Ovis aries: one gene and its partner. The protein of the gene in region 2 purifies or fractionates together with the protein of the main gene of each other region. This does not show direct contact. Links are inferred from orthologs where the notes say so. Each region holds a gene or a part of one and is shown on either strand. Other genes may lie near its edges. The genes, in order: PSMC1 and UBLCP1.

Region 1 (4,386 bases), on a different chromosome or scaffold from region 2:
CCCATCTCTGTTTAAAGTCCATCCTGGTTCAGGTCCCCGTCTCCTGTCCCCCATCTCTGTTTAAAGTCCATCCTGGTTCAGGTCCCCCTCTCCTGTCCCCCCATCTCTGTTTAAAGTCCATCCTGGTTCAGGTCCCCCGCCTCCTGTCCCCCATCTCTGCTTACAATCCATCCTGGTTCAGGTCCCCCTCTCCTGTCCCCCCATCTCTGTTTAAAGTCCATCCTGGTTCAGGTCCCCCCTCTCCTGTCCCATCTCTGTTTAAAGTCCATCCTGGTTCCGGTCCCCTCTCTCCTGTCCCTCCATCTTTGTTTGAAGTCCATCCTGGTCCAGGTCCCCCTCTCCTGTCCCCCCATCTCTGCTTACAATCCATCCTGGTTCAGGTCCCCGTCTCCTGTCCCCCAATCTCTGTTTAAAGTCCATCCTGGTTCAGGTCCGCCCTCTCCTGTCCCCCCATCTCTGTTTAAAGTCCATCCTGGTTCAGGTCCCCCTCTCCTGTCCCCCCATCTCTGTTTAAAGTCCATCCTGGTTCAGGTCCCCCTCTCCTGTCCCATCTCTGTTTAAAGTCCATCCTGGTTCAGGTCCCCTGCCTCCTGTCCCCCATCTCTGCTTACAATCCATCCTGGTTCAGGTCCCCCTCCGTGCCCCCATCTCTGCTTACAGTCCATCCTGGTTCAGGTCCCCGTCTCTGCCCCCATCTCTGCTTACAATCCATCCTGGTTCAGGTCCCCCTCTCCTGTCCCCCCATCTCTGCTTACAGTCCATCCTGGTTCAGGTCCCCGTCTCCTGTCCCCCCATCTCTGTTTAAAGTCCATCCTGGTTCAGGTCCCCCTCTCCTGTCCCCCATCTCTGTTTAAAGTCCATCCTGGTTCAGGTCCCCCTCTCCTGTCCCCCATCTCTGCTTACAATCCATCCTGGTTCAGGTCCCCGTCTCCTGTCCCCCATCTCTGCTTACAATCCATCCTGGTTCAGGTCCCCCTCTCCTGTCCCATCTCTGTTTAAAGTCCATCCTGGTTCCGGTCCCCTCTCTCCTGTCCCTCCATCTTTGTTTGAAGTCCATCCTGGTTCAGGTCCCCCTCTCCTGTCCCCCAATCTCTGTTTAAAGTCCATCCTGGTTCAGGTCCCCCTCTCCTGTCCCCCATCTCTGCTTACAATCCATCCTGGTTCAGGTCCCCGTCTCCTGTCCCCCATCTCTGCTTACAATCCATCCTGGTTCAGGTCCCCCCTCCTGCCCCCCATCTCTGCTTACAGTCCATCCTGGTTCAGGTACCCATCTCCACCCCCCATCTCTGCTTACAATCCATCCTGGTTCAGGTCCCCCGCCTCCTGTCCCCCATCTCTGCTTACAATCCATCCTGGTTCAGGTCCCCCTCTCCTGTCCCCCGATCTCTGCTTACAATCCATCCTGGTTCAGGTCCCCCTCTCCTGTCCCCCGATCTCTGTTTAAAGTCCATCCTGGTTCAGGTCCCCCTCTCCTGTCCCCCGATCTCTGTTTAAAGTCCATCCTGGTTCAGGTCCCCCTCTCCTGTCCCATCTCTGTTTAAAGTCCATCCTGGTTCAGGTCCCCTGCCTCCTGTCCCCCATCTCTGCTTACAATCCATCCTGGTTCAGGTCCCCCCTCCTGCCCCCCATCTCTGCTTACAGTCCATCCTGGTTCAGGTACCCATCTCCACCCCCCATCTCTGCTTACAATCCATCCTGGTTCAGGTCCCCGTCTCCTGTCCCCCATCTCTGCTTACAATCCATCCTGGTTCAGGTCCCCCTCTCCTGTCCCCCCATCTCTGGCTCTGTCCAGGCCGCCTTATCTTACTGGACCGCTTGTCTCCCAACGGAGGTTTCCAGGTCTAAACTCTTCCCTCGTCCATTTGGACATTACCTTCTACAACAAAGAGCTGACCCTCTGAATCGCCTCAGAAACCTTCAATTGACCCCCAGCATTTACGGCCTAATGTCCAAACTCTCTAGCTTGGCACGCCTGGCCCTTGCCAAACTGGCTTCAGTTAACCCTTCCCAGGTTTGTCTACCCGTCCCATGACCCTCCAGGTCTGGCCCCACCGGAGGACATTTCCCGGAGTCAGTCCCCCACTTCTCCATGTCTGGGGCTTCACAGGATGTTTCTCAGCCTCAAGTAACTATACGTATTGTACTGAACAGCAAGCGCTGTGCTAAACAAACAGATCCGACTAAGTTGCCGCTATCATCACCCTAGTTTACAGAGAAGGAAGCGAGGCTCAGAGAGGTTAAGTGACTTGCCAGCTGTCACAAAGCTGGTCCGAGAGACAGCACGCTCCCGGCCTCTGGACCCCGGCGTCTGTGCTGCTCTCCTGCACGGGCCGCTAGCCCAGCACCGCACACCCGCGGGCCCCGCCTCAGGTTCCTCCTTGGTAAACTGAGGATAACAATAATTACCTCCAGGGACTGCTGAGAATAATTTCCAGCAAATGCTGGAAAAGTACTTGCCATGTGCTTGTCAGGCCCAGAATACTGCTACCCAAAGTGCTTCCAAGGCCTGCCTGAGTCTGCGGTGGAGCCCGCTGCTGCTCACCACACAGACCAAGCCTCTCCCCCTCAGCCCTTGGCTCCAGTCCTCCCAGGACCAGTCTTCCTCGGGTATCTGCACCGGCTCCCCTCTCACCGGATTCAGGCCTCCCCGCCTCACCGAGGTTCGCTGACGCCCTGGCTAAAACAGCCACCTCTCCCGCCCTTGCACAGAGCAGCCACAGCAGAGGCCACTCGCCGCCCCCGTCCCGCCCCGTCCCAGTAGCACACACTCCTCTCTCTCTCTAACCTGCCTTCTGGAGAACGCCAGCTTCAAGAGGCCAAGACTGGGTCGGTCGGGCCCGCCCTGTGTGTGCAGCGCCTGGAGCGGAGCCTGGACCACCCCCGGCCCCCCCCCCACCAGCCACCAAAGAGCGGCATCAACCGGGAGCAAAGAAACCATCGCGAGCCAAGCGAGGCACCGAGGGCCGTCCGCTCCGGGCGCCCCGACGCGCCCGTCCGCCGCCCCCGCGCCGCGCGGCCCCTACGACCCGCTCGCACCGTCCCCTCCGCCGCGCGGCCCCGAGCGCTCGGCCCGGTGGCTCGCGGAGGCTGCGGCCGAAACGGCCGGCTCCGAGGGCAGCGCCCGCCCGGAAAGGGACGAGGCCAGCCCGGCCGAGCCGCCCCGCCGCCCCCGGGGCCCGCCCGGCGCCGAGCCCCGGGCCCGGGGAAAGGCCGGCCGGCCCGCCGAGGTCCTCGACGCGCTCCCCAGGCGCCTTCGTGCCTCCCCGGGGACCGGGGCGGGCAGGCCCGGTGCCTCCGGCGGCGGCCGGCTCCCCTTGCCGCGGGCCGCCGGCACCCACCGCCACGGCCGGCCGAAGCCCTTAGTCACTCACCATCTCGCCCCGCCGCTCCCGCCGCCGCCGCCGCCGCCGCCGGAAGTGCGCCGCCGGGGCGGAGCGTCAGGGGCGGAAGTTGCCGCGACGCCACGGAAGCCGCCAGGGGCCAAATCTCGCGAGGGTCGGCTGCGCCCTCTGGGTCTGCGGGAGCGGACGGGCGGGGATGCTCGGACTCCCAAGCGAGACGCGGGCCTTATTGAACTTTCACTTGAAAAAAATGTTTAAATCGCAGTTATTAGGTTATTGTCAACAAGTTAAGACAATGACCTCGACTGTCAAAGGCAATTGCGAAGATAAAAACGATTTTAAAGAGGCCAGAATTAAACAGACCTTGCCTTAACTTCTCCAGGAACCGGAGTGGTCTTTGGAACCGCGAGGTTGGCATACACTTTTGCAGCAGCATTTCACGTCTGATATGGTCTCTGGAATTAATCTGCTCATCTGAGAAGTTGTCTCATGAAGCGTCTGAATCTGGTGGTTTGTTTTTTTCCTGATGTCTTGTGACATCTGGTCAAAATGCCAAATGTCCTAAAAGTCCTCATCTTGCCCCGGGATTGTATCCTTATTTATTACATCCATCAGGACATCAGAAAGAAACAAATCTGGGGCTTCCCTGGCTGTCCAGGGGCCAAGACTCCCTTCCAATGCTGAGGAAATAAGATTCCACATTCAGTTCAGTCACTCAGTCATGTCCGACTCTTTGCGACCCCATGGACTGCAGCACACCAGGCCTCCCTGTCCATCACCAGCTCCCGGAGTTTACTCAAACTCATGTCCATCTCACTGGTGATGCCATCCAACCATCTCATCCTCTATGTCCCCTTCTCCTCCCACCTTCAGTCTTTCCCAGCATCAGGGTCTTTTCCACTGAGTCAGCTCTTCGCATCAGGAGGCCAAAGTATTGGAGCTTCAGCTTCAGCATCAGATCCCACATGCCACCCTGCCAAAAATATTGAAAACATAAAACAGAAGCAGTGTTGTAACATTCAAAACAGCCTTTAAAAAAGAAAAT
Region 2 (3,815 bases):
TAGAGATGATGATTAGTTTATTATCATGGACAAATATCTAATATAGATTAAACTTCTGAAATATAACAGAAACACTCAAAATACTAAGTACTTCAGACTAACTTCTACCAGCTGACAGAGGGACATCTTCAAAGCACACAATTCAGTATTCTTGCAATCCAACTTTAACTAATCAATTCTGTTCAATCTGCAAAGAGCCAATACCTAGAATTCAGGCTTATATAATAAACAGTAAGTTTTCTTCTCTTCTAATCTCTAAAACATAGATCTTATTTTAGGATATGAAAAACAAACTAGGGCCAGATATACTCACTTTTTAGCCATTCACCTTCCAAATACAATCATATTTCACCAAAATAACAGATTCAATTAATTTACTAATCAAATTTTAAAATAAATGTACACTAACTTATGACATGTACTTAAAGGTTAGGATTAGAGGTAAATATGCTCATTTTAATGTCAGGAGTTATCCAATTATTTCTGGCAATATTAAAGGATGAAATGAACATCTTTTTTTGCTGACATGAAATATCAAATGTCAAATTCTTAAATTCAAGAATCTGTCTTGAACATAATAGAAAACCAGGAATAAACTATCAAAGATGATTTTTAAATAATCCTCATAAAATATTAATAAATAGGTAATGGCTTTATTAAATTATCACAGATTCATAAAATCATAGAAAATCACCAGACCAAAAAATACATATATTTAACTCACAATGAATACAAAATGACTAAAATGTTGACCATATCATTAAGTAAACATGAAAAGGATATACATAAAAACATCCAGGAAATTAACACATAAAAAAAGATCTCTGGATCTTGGGATTACATATGACTTCTTTTTTTGCTTGCAATAAATGATTTACTTTTAAAATAAAAAGAAATGCTTTAAGTAATTCATAGTGCAAGGAAAAAACAAAAGGGGAAAATGCTGTTAACGGGTAACAGATGATGAAGCACAGTTTCAGCTGACTTACCAAATAATGTATAGTCAACATCTAGTACCAAAAGTTTTTTCCCTTCCCTGGGAGGATTCAAAATTTCCACTTTGTACTCTTTTACTCTGCGGGAAATTTTCAGTAGGTTTTCCTCCCTAATGAAAAATAAAATCAGACGAAAGATTTACTTTCTCTTGTATTACAACCAATTCCCTTTGATGATGAAAAGCACTCACCTATTTTCTACTTCAACTACTTCATCTTCAATATCAAAGTCATTAACAACGTCATCATTGTCAGGAGGTGGACCTAAGACATCTTCCTATTAAGACGAAAAACAGTATTGCTTTACCATATTCTTTTTAACATAACAAATAAATGCATAGCATAAAAAATTAAGAGGTACAAATTGAGTCCAAAAGTCTTGCAAGCACACGCTATGGGAAAACATCCACATTTTATGTATGTTCACTGGACAGATATACCACGTTAAATTTCACCATTATCACTACTACTATAAAAAGCTGCCTGTGTACACTGACAAGTTGCCCAGTGTTTGCTTTCTGCTGAGTTAATACCACATTCACTGTTTTTACTTTCTGTTGACTATTAAACTGACAGTTTTACCACAATTAAAACTATGATGTAACAATGTGATATAAATCATAATATCTTCAAAGGGAGAGCTTCCTCAGTGGCTCAGTGGTAAAGAATCCACCTGTAATGAAGGAAACGTGGGTTTGATCCCTGGGTCAGGAAGATCCCCTGGAGGAAGAACTGGCAACCCACTCCAGTATTCTTGCCGGAAAAATCCCATGGACAGAGGAGTCTAGAGGGCTACAGTCATAGGGTCGCAAAGAGTCGGACATGACTGAGCGACTAAGCACGCACGCATCTTCAATGGGACAAATATAACAAAAGTAAACATTTACCAAGCTCTCCTCACGAGTTCCCATCATCATGATTTTAGTATTTGGTTTCAGTTTGAGAGCTCCAAGCTTAACATCATTTTCTGCAGGTTTGCCTACAATACAAGCAAATGACTGTTTTCTCACTAAAGTTCACGTGCTGGTTTCACTATCCCATTATATAAAACCCTAACATTAAAAGATTCCACAGCAGGTTCTTTTCCCTTAAATTAATAAACTATTACTGCTGAATTAGCAGTTTCTAACACACTATGAAAAGCGATTAATACAAGGTTGGGTTTTTTTCCCCCAACTCCATCTTAGAGGAACATATTTAATTCAACTAACTAAATAAACTCATGTTTTATTCTTATTCTGTTGTTCAAGATGAAGATAACTGTTTTCCAGAAAGTCCTGAAAATTGAGTGCCTAGGATAACTGTAGATTTACTGCTTTTCAGAACTCACTCTTTACTGATAAAACAAACACAAACACCTTAAAAGTACCTTTTAAATGAATATGAACATTGCTGATAATTTCTAAATTGTTATTACTTTCAAAAGAGAAAAGTTAATTTGGAGAGAGTAAAAGGCCCAAGCTGTAATGAAAAGACTGTACTAGAAGACAGATATTACAAATTACACTCTTTACCTGGGACTTTCATGTCCAAGGTTTAACAAGCAAACATCAACTGTCAGAGGAAATCAAAAGTAATCTTAATAGTGGTGTTATTTCCAAGTATTCTTAAATATTCTTACTTGTATCACTAAAATAATTTAAGGGATATTAAAGAAACCTCCAGGAGGAAAGACTTATTAAGGTGAACTGATAATAGCTAATGTAAAGATTTACAAATATATCAATGCAATAAATTTGAAGAAGGGAGAAAATTACCTTTAACTTTGAGCCCAAGTAACTTCTGGCGTTCTGGTAGCACTCCTGTAAGGGTCTTGAGAAACTGTTTGAGATCCAGCACAGTATCATCTTCCGAAAGTGTGGTCACTGAATATTCCTGTCCACCCCATTTTACGATGATAGGAAGAGCCATCCTTGAAACATATGATAAGGCAGCTTTCCTTCTGAAAAAGATACCTAGAAAGAAAGCCATATACGTGTTGAAACAGACATACCAAAGATGGTCATACAGCAGAAACTAACACAACATTGCAAAGCAACTATATTCAACAAAAAATTTTAGAAAGATGTATCGAAGCTCTAAGCTTTATAAACTGCATCCTTTGAGTCCTAATTTACATCTTGATAGTCGAGAAACAGGATTTTCTACTTATAGAAATGTTATCAGAACACCAAAAGTTATTAGGAGTCAAAGTTAAAATTCCTCCACGTTCCCAAATTTTAGCTTAGTTACAACCCTCTAATATTCTATCAGATTATTCCTGTTTGGAAAGCTGCAATCATGAGCTACATATTTCTCCCTCTCTGATCAGGTTTATGCTGCAGGCAAGTTCCTCCATGATGGACCATTCATGTTCATTTACCATTTGCAAGGTAGGACAGGGAGTTGTTAAGAGCACAAATTCTTGAGTCAGATTACCTGGGTTTGGAGTTCAGGAATCCCACTTATTAGCTATTTAACCTTAGAAAGTTAATTGACTCTTACTGCCTAGGTTTCCTCATCAGTAAAATAGGGATGCTAATACTACCTACAACTCAAGGTTCATGAGGAGTAAGTTAATTTTTGTAAGTCACATACTACCTGGCACATAGGTAGCACTATGCAAGTAAGTAATTGGTTAAATAGTTTCAAAAACTAGAACTGAAGTGTTTTAGGCACAGCATTAAACAAATGGTAAATGGCCATTATTTATTTCAGATTTAATAAACAAGGCTTCCCTAATAGCTCATTTGGTAAAGAATCTGCCTGCAATGCAGGAGACCCCCATTTGATTCCTGGGTCGGGAAGATCCACTGGAGAAGGCATAGGCTACCCACTCCA

Evidence for each region.
Region 1: the proteins of UBLCP1 (region 2) and PSMC1 purify together in Homo sapiens (affinity purification with mass spectrometry; 3 studies listed by BioGRID and IntAct, with this or other methods). This does not show direct contact. The link is inferred for Ovis aries from reciprocal best matches to the Homo sapiens genes UBLCP1 and PSMC1.

What each region holds. Positions count from the first base shown.
Region 1 is NC_056060.1:99,907,356-99,911,741, reverse strand, and holds the start of PSMC1 (26S proteasome regulatory subunit 4), read right to left. Parts: upstream 3,020-4,386; 5' UTR 2,939-3,019; coding exon 2,786-2,938; intron 1-2,785.
Region 2 is NC_056058.1:68,436,161-68,439,975, reverse strand, and holds part of UBLCP1 (ubiquitin-like domain-containing CTD phosphatase 1), read right to left. Parts: intron 2,951-3,815; 5' UTR 2,907-2,950; coding exon 2,753-2,906; intron 1,975-2,752; coding exon 1,883-1,974; intron 1,273-1,882; coding exon 1,187-1,272; intron 1,106-1,186; coding exon 990-1,105; intron 1-989. UniProt on the Homo sapiens protein: Dephosphorylates 26S nuclear proteasomes, thereby decreasing their proteolytic activity. Recruited to the 19S regulatory particle of the 26S proteasome through its interaction with 19S component PSMD2/RPN1.